Drosophila melanogaster: one gene and its partners. The protein of the gene in region 2 interacts with the protein of the main gene of each other region in a pairwise test. Each region holds a gene or a part of one and is shown on either strand. Other genes may lie near its edges.

What was found. The genes of interacting proteins can lie anywhere in the genome.
Region 1: the proteins of CG31415 (region 2) and ppk19 interact in a two-hybrid assay, tested with the Drosophila melanogaster proteins (one large-scale study listed by BioGRID).
Region 3: the proteins of CG31415 (region 2) and PIG-C interact in a two-hybrid assay, tested with the Drosophila melanogaster proteins (one large-scale study listed by BioGRID).

The regions. Positions count from the first base shown.
Region 1 is NT_033777.3:29,669,364-29,674,723, reverse strand, and holds ppk19 (pickpocket 19), read right to left. Parts: upstream 2,269-5,360; coding exon 1,450-2,268; intron 1,385-1,449; coding exon 1,232-1,384; intron 1,171-1,231; coding exon 1,041-1,170; intron 992-1,040; coding exon 802-991; intron 745-801; coding exon 501-744; downstream 1-500. Other genes in the region: Bub3, read left to right, coding at 1-449; Obp99a (Odorant-binding protein 99a), read right to left, coding at 2,512-2,901, 2,970-3,008; ppk30 (pickpocket 30), read right to left, coding at 3,852-3,958, 4,017-4,253, 4,316-4,514, 4,568-4,717, 4,782-5,346. UniProt on the Drosophila melanogaster protein: Part of a complex that plays a role in tracheal liquid clearance. In both larvae and adults, contributes to the behavioral response to salt. Probable role in sodium transport.
Region 2 is NT_033777.3:9,740,566-9,746,665, reverse strand, and holds CG31415 (uncharacterized protein), read right to left. Parts: upstream 3,150-6,100; 5' UTR 3,107-3,149; coding exon of another isoform or gene 2,999-3,106; intron 2,935-2,998; coding exon of another isoform or gene 2,804-2,934; intron 2,755-2,803; coding exon of another isoform or gene 2,652-2,754; intron 2,597-2,651; 5' UTR 2,591-2,596; coding exon 2,117-2,590; 3' UTR 2,004-2,116; downstream 1-2,003. Other genes in the region: CG12948 (uncharacterized protein), read left to right, coding at 1-214; CG34409 (uncharacterized protein), read left to right, coding at 871-922, 1,221-1,985, 2,652-2,754, 2,804-2,934, 2,999-3,106, 3,237-3,613; Pnn (pinin), read right to left, coding at 4,447-4,466, 4,698-5,467, 5,524-5,657.
Region 3 is NT_037436.4:3,317,528-3,322,120, forward strand, and holds PIG-C (phosphatidylinositol glycan anchor biosynthesis class C), read right to left. Parts: upstream 1,706-4,593; 5' UTR 1,666-1,705; coding exon 1,165-1,665; intron 1,063-1,164; coding exon 703-1,062; coding exon of another isoform or gene 625-702; 3' UTR 501-624; downstream 1-500. Other genes in the region: Dpm2 (Dolichyl-phosphate mannosyltransferase subunit 2), read left to right, coding at 2,270-2,378, 2,988-3,124; CG12016 (uncharacterized protein), read left to right, coding at 3,218-4,189.

The DNA.
Region 1 (5,360 bases), about 20 Mb from region 2:
TCAAGTACCAGACCCGCTGCATTCGTCTATTCCCCAACAAAGAAGGCTACGTGATGTCCTCCATCGAGGGACGGGTGGCAGTGGAGTACCTGGATCACGATCCTGAGGTGCAGCGCCGCAAGTTCGCTTTCAAGTGCCACCGGAATAGGGAGCAGAATATCGAACAGATCTACCCCGTTAATGCCTTGAGTTTCCACAATGTCTATCAGACGTTCGCCACTGGCGGATCCGATGGCATTGTGAACATTTGGGATGGCTTCAACAAGAAGCGCCTTTGTCAGTTCCACGAATACGATACCTCCATATCCACGCTCAACTTCAGCTCCGATGGCAGCGCCCTGGCCATCGGCTGCTCCTACTTGGACCAACTGCCAGAGACGCCGGCTACAGTGCCACATCCGGCTATCTATATACGCTATCCCACGGACCAGGAAACTAAACAGAAATAATGTTATATATACTTGTTTACGGCAAAGTTTTACATCATTTTTTAAAGTAAGCTACTTAGTATACTCTTTCAATTTTATGCGCGCATCTCTGATGAAACCCCACATCAGTTTTCCCAGCACAAATAAAAGCTCTATAAAACTCATGACGGAGGCCCCTATATACAGACTTATGATCCCGCCAAAGTTGGCCAGTAAATCTATATTGGTGTACTTGAGTTTCGTAATGATTTTGGTCATGACACGTTGGCCATAATAAACCTGGGCTTTTATCAATTGATCTGTCGAGTTTTTTGGGCTAAAAGAGAGGGGAATTTAATTATCTGTTCTTTAAGAATATATACATTGAACTTACTAATCCAATTTGCGCACATTAAGTGACATTTCGTACAGCCGTGAATTGCAATTGTCTGGGCAATCACAAAAGTGACCCTGTCGTGAGTCGTTAATGTATTTCTCCTGATCACCCATCTTCACGTAAGTGAATATATCGGAATTGTTGCCCAAGCATTGTGCATCGTTGATTCCACATTCCGGAACTCCATCTAAAAAAAAAAAAAATTTAAAATGTAATAGAATAATTACGATAATTACCAATGGGAGGCAGAAAAGCTGGCAGCGAGCACTGGCAGGTCTTCCACACAACTAAGTGGAGGCACACCACCAGGCAGTTTTCGCGGTTATAAGTCAACGAAGTGTTCTGGAAGGTAGGGTTCTTTTCATCCTATGGAGTAAGGAATTATTATTATGATTATCTTTTCCTATTAGTTGCAAGCTATACACACATCAAAGTAGCAACGTCTTTTTTTGGGACTCATTTCATAGGTATTTGGAGAGGTTTCCGTGACCAGCGGATGCACAGCAACAAAGTTCTCCGTATCCGGGTACAGGTGGTACATCATTTCATTGGACCACTGGCGTGGTTCCTTAATCATGAGCTTAGTAACCAAAAAATAAAATTAAACAAAATATGAGCAAACTGTGACGCAACTAAGGGACTTACATTCATTCCAAATGGAGTCAGAGCGTCTATGTTGTTCATAAAGGAGTAGCTTGCATTGATCGTGAACTTCAGGCCCGAATCCTCGCCAGCGGTGCTCAGCTTGTGGGGATAGAACTGGTTAATCAGGTGCTTTTTGCGCGAGTTCTCCGAAATCATGGAGTTGAAGACCAAGCACTGGCCCTTCACCGTCTGCTCCCGTACGAAAAGTTTGCAGCAGTCGTAGGGAGTCTCATCGAAGACGCAGGAATCGGCGACGAAGAGTTCATCGCATCTATAGGTCATGAAGTTCATCAGGTCCGTCATTTTTAGATAACTAATTCCCGTCAGATTTCGTTTGGTCAGAATCCGTATCCGGTTAAAGTTGGAGAAGTTCATAATGTCCATACTGGCGAGTAGCTGGCGAAATGTTTCCCGGAGCTCGGCATTCGGATGACGTGGCAGAAAGCGGATAAATGCCGACGGAGCCCTCTGCCAGTTGAAATGATTCCAGGGGCAAACGGCCACAGCTGGAAAGTCGATGTGGTACACTGGCAACTGGGTGGTCTCTATCAGGCTGACCAGGAGCTGCTCGCTGTGGCGATGCATCAGCACGGTGTACAGACTGAATCCTGTGATCACCGCTCCCAGGACGATGGCGAGCCACAGGCAGCGCTGCCAGAGATGCTGCTCCCCGAAGACGTGCTGCATCCCATGGATGTTGGAGTGGGCAAAGGAGTTGCACAGTTTTTCCCGAAACTTAATACCACGCGGATTGTTCCTGAAGCGCAGTAGTCCTGGTCTCGGCCGCGGAATCACAAGTTCCTTGGTGTACAGCAACATGACGAATGGAAGTAGTTGGCCAAAGTTTTAGTTTAGTTTGGCTGCCTAAAAGCATATCCTCAATGTAATTGCTACTCGGAGTTGTTAATAAGTAAATTGAGGCCCCCATTGAAGAAGAAATATCTACATTCTGTTTTTCCCCACTGAATCGAGAAGGAATGCTCGAACTTGTATGGGAAATCAATTACTTTATTAACTAAACTAATGCTTATCGTTACATCCGTCCAACTAGGACCTAAGCCACTAGGCCTTCGGGGCCAGGCTCTTCTGGATCTGGGCCAGGTTCTCCTTCAGCAGACAGGTGGCTCCGCGGTAGGCCCACTCGCAGGCATTGGATCCCTGCTCGTTCTTGTCCACGCAGGCGGCCAAGGAGGCGTGGAAGGCCTCGTTGTGGTCAGCGTGGTTGCCCACCAGCTGTTGGTGGATGTTCTCCACGTTGAAACCGCTCTGGACGTCGAACAGGCCCCACTTGGTGAAGACGCACTTGATGTAGCACTGGGTCTTGGCGTCGTTGGGGTACTCCCACTTCTGGTACTTCTCCACCAGATCCACGGGCACGGCCAGCTCCTTGACGCACTCATCGCGGTAGGCCAGCATGTCGTGTCGGTTCTTCACCACATAGTCGGCGGAGGCCTATAACCCAAGGGAAGGCGTTGAATTATTCTGGTCCTGGTCGCCGTTTATCTGTATCGAGCACTCACCAGTCCAATCAGCACGCAGATGGCAACGAAAACCTTCATTTTCACTTTCTTTCCACCTATGTATGTATTCCTCCAGCGATCGAGCGAAGACTGTTTTGAAATAGGGCCAGGCAGCCCCTATTTATACGAGAGCGAGGGATCCGATTTGAGTTCGGGAATGGACTTGGTACCTGAGGGGTCTCCAAGGCGCGATTATGCTTGTAGATCCCCAGTTTATTTTTATGCTCAACTCCAAGCTGGGCATCTGATTCTTTTGTGATGGGCTTTTATGCTTGGGGGCACAAGTGGACAACAAAGAATCTGGAATCTGGATGGATGCCTTCTAATAACCTCCATGGGCTCAGTCGCTGATAAGACAGCTCCCCTTTAATCTTTGGCAAATTGGCGCGCTTATTTTTGTTGTTGCTGAAAACAGATTAATACCCACGTTTAGCAAACGCAGCATATTTGGGTGCACTGCAAAAAATACAGTCGCTGTGCAGAAAATTAAAAATACTTGCAATTACATTTATTTTCGGCATTTTATTGAAGGCATATATAAGTATGTGCTCTATAAGGAATTTATTTACTCAATGTTTCAAGTTACAAAAACAGACTTCTAAATTGAAAATGGATTTCTGGGACTTAAAAACAATATTCTTATTCAATTTCTTTTTCTGAAGAAAGCCTACAGTTTTGTTATGTCTGGTTGGAGCTGCACCTGAAAATTTTCCACTGCCATGCAGGTAGCTCTCCGAATGCGTTTTATTTTCTGGATTTGTTTATGTGCGCATCCCAAGAACCAGGTGAGTGGTGCATTTGTGTGTGCTTCGGTTACAGGTAAGTGTGGGAACGTGAGAACCCAGCTGCCGATGGCTGGTACTTCATGGTGCCAGCTTGGGCCTAGGAGCCATGGGGTATGCGACAACAGGCGAAGCGATCCAAGAGTTCGTTGATGCAACCTAGCACCGAGATGCCCATGATCAAACCGGCTATTCCTCCATAGGAAACTACAAGTGAAGGGTAGGGGGTACATGTCATCGCAGCTGTGATTGATCCCAAACTCACCCATTAAGTCGATCAGCGTGAAGCGGAGCATGGAGCGGTAAGAGAAGAGGGTCTCCTCCTGGAAGTACACATCTATCTCGATCGCTGCGGCAAGGTTGGTGTGGGCGCTCATCTTCTCCGTGTAGGTTGACGTGTGGTACTGGGTGTGACCGCACTGAGGAAAGCAACCGCAATCCACGGTGGAGAACACATTATCACGGGACTCTTCGATGATGTTGCTCATGGAAAAGAGGGAAACTAAGCGGAATTCAGTACATATATATCATATATATATGATTTAAGTTTAGAATTAGACCCACGTCGGTGCTGATTGAAGCAGGCCAGATCCTTCACACCGCAAATTCTACGTCCGTTGCTTTCCTTTGCAGCCGCAATGTTGTCCTCATCTTGAGTGGCCTTCACCGGCAGTTCCAAGGAGCAGTTGCACTTGCTGATGATGTAGTTGACGTGGCACTTGTAGATGCACTCCGACCGGGACTTTCCCGTTGGTATCTCATTCTAAGGTAAAATTAAGTTTAAGAGCTAGTATATATTTGGCTAAGGAAACCGACCTCAAAGTAACAACGACGCATTTGAACGGGACGTGCCCGGACATCCAACTCGGCTGTGAAATGAAGTGGTTCCACCGGAACCACGATGCGATCCTCTGAGGAATAGTCAATGCTCATGCCCAGCAACTGGGTCGGTTCGTGCACTATCACCTGGTGTGGTAATTACTCCATGTCATGACGCACTATCTATGTACATATGTCTTATCGGACTCACCCCCATTGTATTCAACGTATACAGACCCTGCTGCCGTTTGATCTTCACATTGAGTCCGCTATATGATCCGCATGAAGCCACGGACCAGGGCCACGTTTCATCTCTTCCCGAGGAGACCAGTGAGTTGAACTCGAAGGCGAAGCCATTGAAGGTCTTGGTGGGTCGGAATAGGTCACAGCAGTTCATCGCCTTGCGACGCCACTGGCACTCGGTGAAGAAGTGCTGGCAGTTCATCTGCAGCGCCTGGTAGATTCCCCAGCTCTGCGCGTTCCAGTTTTCCAGTTCGGAGAACTCCGTGAAGTTCTCATCCGTGAGGCGGGCGGACATCGGTGTTTGCCAGACCACGGACTGAACCAAGTTATAGGCCTTGGAGAGCTTCTCGGCTTTCAGGATGCTCAAATTGATCGGAATGATGGTCACGGCTGGGAAATCGATCTCGGATACATGCATGTCAGTCCTTTCGATGGAGGTCTGCACCCAGTAGTAGAAGTACCGCTCCGAGGAAAGAATGCTCACATACACGGTGGCCAGAGCGGCCATTATTTTAAGGGGGATTCTGGCGTATCTATAGATTAAAAA
Region 2 (6,100 bases):
TGATGACGACGACGTGGAAAAGTCTGCCGGTGAAGATTGCAATAGTAATGCCGATGTAAATGGCCATTATCCAGCGGCTGCAGTGACAACGATTGCGGTGAATATATCACCATCGCCATCCCCCACTCCCCAGCCGATTGTTGAACCTGTAGAACAGGTCGAGAATAGCGTTACAGTCACCGTGGCTTCTCCAGAAGTTCCCCCCGTGGCTTAGGCCAGGAACGATCGTTAAAGACAAACCAGATCGACTATAAAAAATGCCTAATGAGTAGTTAAGTATTTTAGTTGTACATCATCGGCAACTCGACATTCCACGCGATGCATTTCTAGTTACGTAAGCCAATCTCTGGGCCCGAGCCCACTTCTGGGCTAGGCCGACTAAAAAGACTTTGTTCGCACTCTGTAGCCCTTAGCCACGTTCATTTCATCGCCTAACTTAAGAGCATAAACTTTAAAGTAAGCGTCAATAATATACATACGAAAGAGAGTTCCACATTCTAAACGGTGTCCTGTTACTATTCCTCAGTTTCAAGTTTAGAGTGGCCGGCCAGCAAAACATGTTTTGTATTGATCTGTTCTGGATGACAATCGGTTATTTTGCTAGCCGTCATTGTTGGTTCTCTTCGTCTGATGTTGCTGCTGGTTTACGGCTGTGGCCCAAACCGAGTTTACGGCCTGATAATTGGTTTTTTCGAGCTCTCTTTTTGTTTTGATTCGTCGTCGCGAAAATCGAAATCTGAATAGAGCTGGAAGCGTGGAAGTAAGATATGCATGCTGGCTCGGAGATTGAACCAATTTATTTCAATTTCGCACTTGGTCGGGCGACGTTGTGTTACTGGTTTCCCAATTTCTTGACTTGTATCGTTCGAAATGCGGCGCCTAAAAATCGTCTCACTCTTATTCTGCATCCTGTGTTTGAGTGGTAAGTACTCGTATCCCGGGGATCCCTAATAAAGCAATGACTCAAGACACAAACGTGCGACGGTAGGGGGTAATTAAAGACCAGCCCTCTTAGTGGGTCAAGGTCTTAGTCTAGAAATTCCCAGCGAAGGGCAATAAACCGCACGAATGACGGCGAATGCCGAACCAAAAAAGTGAGTAATTGCCGTGGGCACTTCTGGTTTGCTGATTTTCTGGTTCGTGATTGCTGTGCCGACATTGACCTTCGAGAAGTGATTTCATGCCTTGTCATCCAGCCTGGTCATCCGTTATACTTTCAGGGGATCGCAAAGCCTCCGCCTGCCACTGCATCCGCCTTGGGAAGTGTGCCCCCTTTGCACGCCTTCTACTTCACCACGGACCCGGAGAACAGTCCGCTGTGTTCGCCAAGGTGCACAGCGCCAGTTGTGGCTTCCAAGGCCTCGAGCCGCTCGTCTGTTGTCCGAATTCTCGCAAACAATACCACGATGAGTCATCCTTCGTCAAAGCAAGTCGCAAGATGCGCTTTGCTCCGCCGAATGATCGTTGGATTTGGGATGGTGCGGATAGTGACAAGGGCAGCCGGCACTCCCACACACACGGGGATTATCTGGAAGCGGAGACCAATCTGCATGACTACTGGAACTTCGAGGAACAACGCAATTGTCCCCAGCCCGTGGAACCAGAGTTCTTCGACCGACGGTTCGCCTTGGGACACCACTTTCTGTATCATGTGGAGCACGAAGAACGGGATACATTACTGCGACCCGTGCCAAAGGATAAGCCCATAGTATTTCCCGGGGACCTACGCTTCCAGCGGCAGGGAGAGGAGGCAATTGACTCCAACATAGATCAAGGTCCGCCCCTGGCGCCGTTTACCACAACATTAGCTACACCAATTGAAACAATTCCTGCTTCTTTATCCACAACAACCGCATCGATGCCACCTTTCGCACAGGAGAACACCCAAGGATGTGGGATAAATGTAGAGAGCCGACTGCTGGGAGGAGATCAGGCTAGTGCCGGACAGTTTCCCTGGCTGACAAGGATCGCTTATCGCAACCGAAGTAAGTACATCTTATGTTAGGCTAAATACGCAATTTCGAATTTATTTTACCCAACGCAACGCCTCTTAAATGCTCTTAAACTTACTCCGCATTGGAGATCTGAGCCGGGCCCAATGCCGTCCTGTCTGCGCTCATCCAATTTCACTGGCCACAATAACCATTTTTAATGTAAGGTAGACGCCGACGGCAAAGAGCAGAGCAGCCAGTCCCAGAGCCTTGGGTCCGCGATTGTTTGGTGGGGCACTCAGCCCAAAAGGTCCTCCTCCGCCTCCACCACCGCCATTGGGAGCATTTCTGCCTCCGGGACCACCACTACCTCCAGGGCCATTTCTTCCTCCAGGGCCACCACCTTTTCCTCCAGGGCCACCTCTTCCTCCAGGGCCTCCCTTACCGCATTTATTGCACTGCTGTCCGCCGCAAGGTTTGGGGCCACACGTTCCACGCTTTTGGGGCGGGCCCCCTCCACGACCACCTGGGCCGCCTCCACCGGCACCAGGGGCACCTCCACCAGCACCTGGACCGCCCCGTGAGCCAGGAGCTGGGCAAGAATCAGGGTTGTTGCTCTGAGGTGGTAGACTTCTTCCTGAACAAGGGCAAGCGCACATGTTGAGCTGAAAACAAGAAAAAATCTTTATTCTTACAGAAGTTTTACGATAATATTTTCAGGCAGCAGCCGCATTAGCTTTCGCTGCTCCGGATCCCTGATATCCAGCAACCACATCGTAACTGCCGCCCACTGTGTGGTCAACCTAGTCAGCGATTTGGAACTGTAAGTCTAAAGCCTAATTAAATCTTTTGTAATCCACGCTCTTTCGTAGGTCCCATGTTCGATTGGGAAGTCAGGATGGGGCGACTCCGTTTGCCATCGAGCAGGTTATAGTTCATCCGAACTACGACCAGCCCAAGTATGCAAATGACATTGCCCTCCTACGAATCAACAGCACTAATGGTAAGAGATTATACTCCTATCCTAGGTCAATGATTACGCTGAATAACCACCACCAACCTTGCAGGCACTTTCACACCCATATGCTTACCCTTCAACGGGCCAATCACACTGGGAAACAGGCTGATAGGACAAATTGGAGTGGCTGCTGGTTGGAGTATTGGGAGTACTGAAAGTTAGTCTCGAAACAACTTTATATCTGATCTGTTACATTTTTTAACTTACTATCAATGCGATCGAAATATAATTCAGTGCATATTAGGTTTTAAATGTATATAACATTCTCTACTACAAATTTTATCCAGATAATAGTTCGATGGACCCCTCAAACTCCACCGCTGGGGTGCGCTTCATCCGTTTGCCCATCGTGAACACCACCAGTTGCGCCATCGCCTATGCCAGTCTCAGTGAGAACTTCCAGCAGCCTATTGTGATTACTCCCAACCACCTGTGCGCCCAGGGAATGCCCATGAATGACGTGTGCCGAGGCGATAGTGGCGGCCCCTTTATGGACGACGGTACCTCCGGCGTCTTTGGAACAAGTGGACGTTATACGATCATCGGCATCGTGGCCTTTGGACCGACGCTGTGCGGCGTGACCACCATTCCGGGGGTCTACACCCTGGTGAGTAGCTTCTCCGATTGGATACTGCGAAGCATCGCCGAAGGATCTGACCAGTGAGCGGTCGTGTTGGGAACCCATCCCTAGCAAATTACATCCAAAGCTTCCAATGCCAAAGTCTTCAGAATACATCGACGTAAAGAACAATGATTCATACATTCTACGGATAAATACAAAAATTCGGTTCCACTTCAAATCACCTAAATTTCAATAAAATGTACGTGTATAACAATCGTATTCATCAAATTTGTATTTTTCTACTGTATATGGCGGATGTCAATGCTCTCATTTTATTTTCAGAAAAACAATGTTCTTTTTTTACACGAATACAGTACAAGAATCAGAGGTTAACATATTATTTTTTCATTAATTGCTTCTGACTACTGGTCTTAATTAATAATGTTAATAGACGGCGAAGAAGGTATAATTATCTTATAAGAGTTCTTAACTTATCGCTTAAAGAATTATAATTGTTTTAACGCCTCATTTTAAATTAGTTACTTCCTCAAACAATTTGGAAGCGAGAATAAAATATGTGATTTAGCTTCAGGATGATTATATCTATAAATACATAATTAGGTATTTAATGTTCCTATTTCGCGATCCAATATCTTGCGTGTAAAATATTTTTTAGTTTTATTTACAATTTTACAAATTCTTTTGAAAGATACAAATATAGCTTGCTTGCAGTAAACAATTTTTTTTTTCCAAGTTTTATTTCTAGTAGGACATAAATAATGGCAATAAAGAATAACTGGTTTTGTCCACAAATTGATGTTCTTAAACACCCCTTCATTCGGTGAAGTAAAACAATTGCTTTTGCAAATAATTTGTTAAATTGCATTAGTTGTAATCCTTTATTCCTAGAATAGCATCATTTACTTTTGGGTACTTTACTTAACGTATAATAAAGCTGCAATAAAAACAGGAAGTAGAACATTGAAACAAAGGTATTTGAGTTGATAAATACGATATAACTTTTAAATGTAATCACCGCATTGTAATTTATTTGCTTAAGATCTGGTTTTTGTATTATAAATTAAAGTTTCATAAATAAGTTTTATAAATTGAAACCCAATTGCCCTACACAGCGATATCCGCACGATCATATTTCAAGCCCTAGTGCAAACTGAAGTTTACTTACACTTATCCAACTGCTCTTCGTCGTCAGGCTCTTCATAGAAACTTTCGTCTATTGCAGTATCGTCTTCCATCTTCCCAAAGTTCATGTTCTCCAAGTTTTTAAGCTCAACTTCCAATTCTTCGCGCCGGAATTCTATAAACACATCAGCTTCACTTTTGCTTTTGCTCAACAATTTTTCCGTTCTAGGCGAATGCACTTTTGGCCTAAAGAACAGATGTGGTTTCGTTTTTGTTCGGATGTTATTTTTCGCATTCAACATAGTTGCTTCCCAGACCTTGAAGTCCTTCATTCTGGCCATTTTGTACTCTAATCTACGGATCTCGAATTGCTTTTTTTTCCTATCTAAGAATAGTGTTTCACGCTGTTTCCTCAGCATCGCTCTTTCCTGCAGTTCCTGCTTTTCCACCTTCCTATCGATCTCAGCCTTTTTATCCTCCTTGCTCTTCAGTCGCGATTCCTCCTGACAGAACTTCTGTAGGGTTCCCAACAGCGATCCGAACATCCTGCGATTCCTGGCCCTCGACTCAGAGTCTGTGCCCTGTGCCTCGACAATCTCCTTTTTAGTTGGCATCTCCCGGATGACCCGCGAGTTAATCCGTGGCGGACGACCCTCGTTTTCTTCGATTGGGAAACGGGAAATTGGATTCTTGCTTTCGTACATTCGCCGCTTGTCTTTGAAGACCCCACCGGGTGTTGCATTTCGGGGGAACGGTCGGTCCCCATTGTGCTCGTTCTTCTTGCCATCTTGGGTGTATTTGAATTTTTCCGATCTGAAATGCAGCGGCATTAAGTAATTAATTAAATTAAGCACAACTTGGATTCATACCTCTGCAGGGATTCCTTGGGGACGCGACCAGCAATGCGGCGAATGTTTTCATTTAGGATCACCAGCGACTGCTTGGCCGAATTCAGTTTTTGCTCCAAGTCGTCCACTGTCGATAGACCAGAGTCATTCACCATTGTTCCCACGTTTCAGTTAGGTTTTGTTTAATTAATTATTTTACTTAAGTCGGTACAATTAGATGCTCATAAAAGTAAAAAAACAATACTTAGGGATGAGAGGTTACTAGTGCTGGCGGAAAACAGCGATGGTCCTGGTACTATCGATTCGTCGTGACGGGACATCGATAGTTTTTACTTTTATATATATATATTTGTTATATACTTTTAAACGATCTCCTTATCTTTTCAAAATCCGAAATAATCTCCAACTACTATCTATGGGGAAAAAATTACAAATGCTTGTTCGGGAATCCCCTATAAAAAAAATATAACTACATTTCTTGTATTCTCAATTTAACTTTATAAGGCATTTGTATTTAAAAACAATGACATGATAATAGTTTTTGTTTATACCAATTTATTTATGATTAAGTAATCATATCAGCAATCAGTAAGTGACT
Region 3 (4,593 bases), on a different chromosome or scaffold from region 2:
TGGATTATTTATCTCTCAAGAATGCTTACTGAAACTGTGGAAGTAGCTTGCAGGACAGCATGCATTACATAGATAGGTAAAACGCAGAATACTAAAATAATTAAATCTCTGGTTAGACTAGGAACTTCTGGGAAACCCAAGGGCGTGCACTTAATACAGATGTCACTCATCCATATTCCATAGTCTATTATTAAAGCAATTGCTTCAATTTATTTGCGTTAGATAGGGTCAAATATATTCAATGTATGCTCATGCGAATGTTTAATTGTTATCTACGAAACGGGTTTTAGTCGCTGACGATAAATAATCTTTAACTAAATTTATTTTTAGTCTGAGTAAAACACAACCAAGCCAAAAAACTCACCCTGTTAATTTAACTCCATTATCTTTCAATTGAAAAACCTTTGCCTTAAGTTGATAACAATTTATTTAAAAAGCCATTCATAGGACCAAAAGAAAGTCCCCTAAAAATTACACAAATTTAAAAGTGCTATGGTTTTAAACACAAAAAGTATAATTTATTAAAACGCTACTTACAAACTAACAGATATAACATGATACAAAAGATTAACATCAATGGCTTGGAATGAGTTTACAAAGTTATAAAAATAAGCGTGCAATGGTTTAGCGATCAGTGAAGTGCTCCTCGACGTCGCCGCTACCCAGTCGTGGCGGCAACTGTTCTGAGAAGCGCAGCTGGCGCTATAAGTTCCCATCCAGGTTCTCCTCGGTGTTCTCCTCCACGATGGCCTCGTCCCAGGGCCCGTGAATGTTGAACTTGTACTGCTGCTGCCACACGAATATGAACGGGCAGACAAAGTTGATGAAAATGGTGGTGGAGGCGTAGAGATAGAGCACCGGGCGCGATATACAGTACAGCGCCATACAGCATATTGCAAATATAGGCAACATGAATCCAGCATGCCAATTCGCTTCCGTCATTATGGGATAAAGGACGAAAAAGACGGCAGCCTCGACAAGGAGCACGAAGGCGTGATACGAAGTCGGCAGGCGGGAGGCTAAGCAAATTGCTCCAAATATGGCGGCATTCAACGAGACGGCCTGCGCTTAACATGGAACAAGAAGTATTTGTATTATATAGGATTCTGAGGTGGAGTCAAGATCAATATACAATCAACACCAATAGCCGTAAATATTGCCTACCTTAGAGACCATGGCTACATCCAATCCATAGTGTCCAAATATCAGGTTGCCCAGAAGGACAAAGAAGGTCATTGTGTATATGGTGTCCGTGCTGATGGCCTGCGTTAGGGTGTGCAGCATCGGTGAGAATAAGTAGCCGAAGAGGACCACTGTGACCAGGGTTTTGGAATCCTCGCCCAGCAGGGCCCAGCTGAGACTCCTTCCTCGGTAGCACAGGTATCCAATGCCTGTGATCCCGCAACTGGGTACCAGGATCGTGGTGGGCGACACGCTGTCGCTGAGCATAAGTTGGTAGAGTATTAGGAAGCCGGTGATGCAGGAGATCTGATTATTAAGCACTGTAATACCGGCAATTGCTTCGCCGAACGTGTATATTCTACAATGTAGATTCGTGCGCAGATCCTTCAGAAAGCTGGCATCCGTGTAGTTGTCCGGATATTCCCGGTTGGAGTACAGGTTCTTCACCCATGGCTGCCGTTTCGATTGCCCATTTTTTACCATTCTTAAATTTAAAAATTGTTTGTTTACAATTCTATTAGTGCTGGGTTATCAGCGTTCGATAGTATCAGTTACTATCGACATATCGATATTGTTTTATCCACTGAAAAGTATTGAAAGTAAGTGCTGGTCACACTGTCATAGTGATGCATGTTTCACTTGAAATATCGATGATGATAGTTTAATTTGAAATATTAATAAACTGTTCATTATCTAAACAAGGGGTTTTACAGCAAGCTAATAATATACAAATCTTATTCTGAAAATTATCCCCAAGCAGAAGTGACTCGCCTACATCGATAAGAACATCCGCTGGTGTTGCGCAAAACAGTTACTCGAGCTATCGATACTTGTTCGAGTGGTTGAACCACCACTACCTTGAATTCGGAAATTTTTTGACGCACTTGTTTGTTTTGTTTACAATTACGCCACGAAAGTAAATCGGCAGCTACGAAAAAACATTAGGGATTCGTGCGGCGGGTAAACGATCAGTGGACAGTGAAGCAGTCCGTCCGGGGAGAACGCCCCATGAGCAGTTTTACAAACAAATCGCCGGTCGCGTGTTCTCTCGCCAGAGAAACCCCAGAATTTCCGAGAATAGCTATTTATGGCTTCGAATGCGCAACTCGGGAAAATCATTTTGATATCTGCAATCGCCGTGTTCTTCTATTACTTCTTTTGGGTGGCCGTCCTCCCGTTTATGCTCATCGATGAAGGTGAGTTTTCCACGGCTTCCGTTATTCACCCGCTAATACATAAGTTTTATTGAATAATCTCGCGCTTTTGTATAGTAATTAAAGTGACGCCGCGGCGTAAATTGGTCACGATGTTCAATTATATATAGTTGGCAGTGTACGAGGATGAACCCGTGTGTTTTACAGAGGTGACCACCCTAACACGGGTTACCTGGAATGCGGCTGTACGATGCTCTAAGCTCGGGTCAAGGTCACCGACGACTAGTGATGATAGGAGTACAGTATTCGCCCGATATGTGCACAGTCAAACTAGTTAGCTATTGTAGAGTCTAGGCATGTACAATCAGCGATAAAAACGAAAACGTGCTTAACCAGTGGTACCACTGTATTATGTGGTTCCAAATCTGGGTGTGTACTTAGCTAATTATTTTCGGTAGTTTTTCCGCCTGGATATTGGCTCTTCACTTTATACGTAAATATTTCATGATCGTAGTTTTGCCGTTCCGTGACAATTTTAATTTGTTGCTATTAAGAGTAATCATAAAAACAATATACTTACGTATTTTCTTTCCTGGCCTGTTATCAAATGAAACACTTGTGAACATGAGTATACTTTACAAACTTTTACAGGCAATCCCATTCGGCTGTTCTTTCCACCGCTGAAGTACGCTTTCATTGTGCCCACCGTGTTCGGGGTGATCTTCCTCGGCGGCATCGCCGCGTTCTCCTTTTACCACATCTGGAGCCTGAGAGTGAAACGTGATTAAGGGGGTTATCCGGGGGGTTATCTTGCTCGGTGCGAACGCGAACGTACGATTCCACTGAAAAACAAGGAAGAGCGATAGTCAGTCGTGGACAAGATGCCGCAGTGGCTGGTCATTGGTATCTCGGGAGTCACCTGTGGTGGCAAAACTACGCTAGCCCACAGCCTGCACGACTACTTCAAGGGTCTGAGAGGAGCGCCGCTGTGGAACTCGCCGTACACCATTGGCGAGGTGCGTCTGATCTCGCAGGATGACTACTTTCTGCCCGTGGAGGACAAGCGACATCAGCGAAATGAGGCGCTCAACGCCATCAACTTCGAGCTCATCACCTCGCTGGACATGGCCAAGATGCTGAACGACATAGCGCACATAATCAAGGGGCGCCATGTGGCTCCCGAGCCACAGGAGCACCTTGTGACGTATGCCAACTTCGAGCACTACGCCCAGCAGTTCCAGCAGCAGTACCAGTACAATGCGAACTACTACAAACAGGCCAATGGCGGGGTCTATCAATATCCGCCACAGCAGCACCCGAGACATCACCCCCATCACCAGCAGCACCACCACCAGCACCATCAAATCCAGCAGCAGCAGCAGCACATTATGAGCATCAATGCGCAGATTGCCGCCCAGCTGAGGGACAAGAAGGTCAATTTCCTCCTGGTCGAGGGATTCATGATCTTCAACCAGCCGGAGCTGCTGGCCCTGTGCAACATTAAGTACCACTTCCATCTGCCATATGAGAAGTGCTTCGAACGGCGCAGTAAGCGCACATACGATCCACCCGATGTCACGGGCTACTTCGAGCTCTGTGTGTGGCCGCACTACGAAAAGAACTTCAGCGAGTACCGCGACTGCAAGGACATTACATTCCTCAATGGCGAGATCGCCAAAGAGAAGATCCTCGCGTTCGTCCTTCATCGCATCGTCCACTACTTCAAGGAGCGCTGCGAGGTTCCAGCTCCTGCTCCCGTCGTCTGCCCGCCGCAGCAGAAACGGTTCGGTATGCTCTACATGGGTCCGAGCAATAACAACGTCATGCCGTCGGCGTGTCCCATGGAGCAATAGTTTGTCCTTGGATTCAGAGTACAATAATTGAATATTGTATAGTAGTAGGATGTTAAACGGTTCAAAATTGTTTGGATTACTTCTCCGAATCGTGGCTAAAATTCCCATATTACGTTATAGTTGTAAGCTACTCTAAGGGTGGTTCGATTTTAAATTGTTAAAAGTATGATCTAAAATCAATTATTTAATTCAAATTAAAAATGTGAGTTTTTGGAACTTGAGCAAATGTTAAGCACCGCAAAGTCCAAAGAAAAGTGCAGTATTGTTTAGAGAATATTTTGATTGTTTGATTGCCCAACCTACAACTTCCACGACCAATTTGCTTACAGTTTCTAGCTTCTTTTTACGGAACAATCGAAACAAATCGACCCGCCCTAGAATACAACTATTATTAGTTAGTCTTT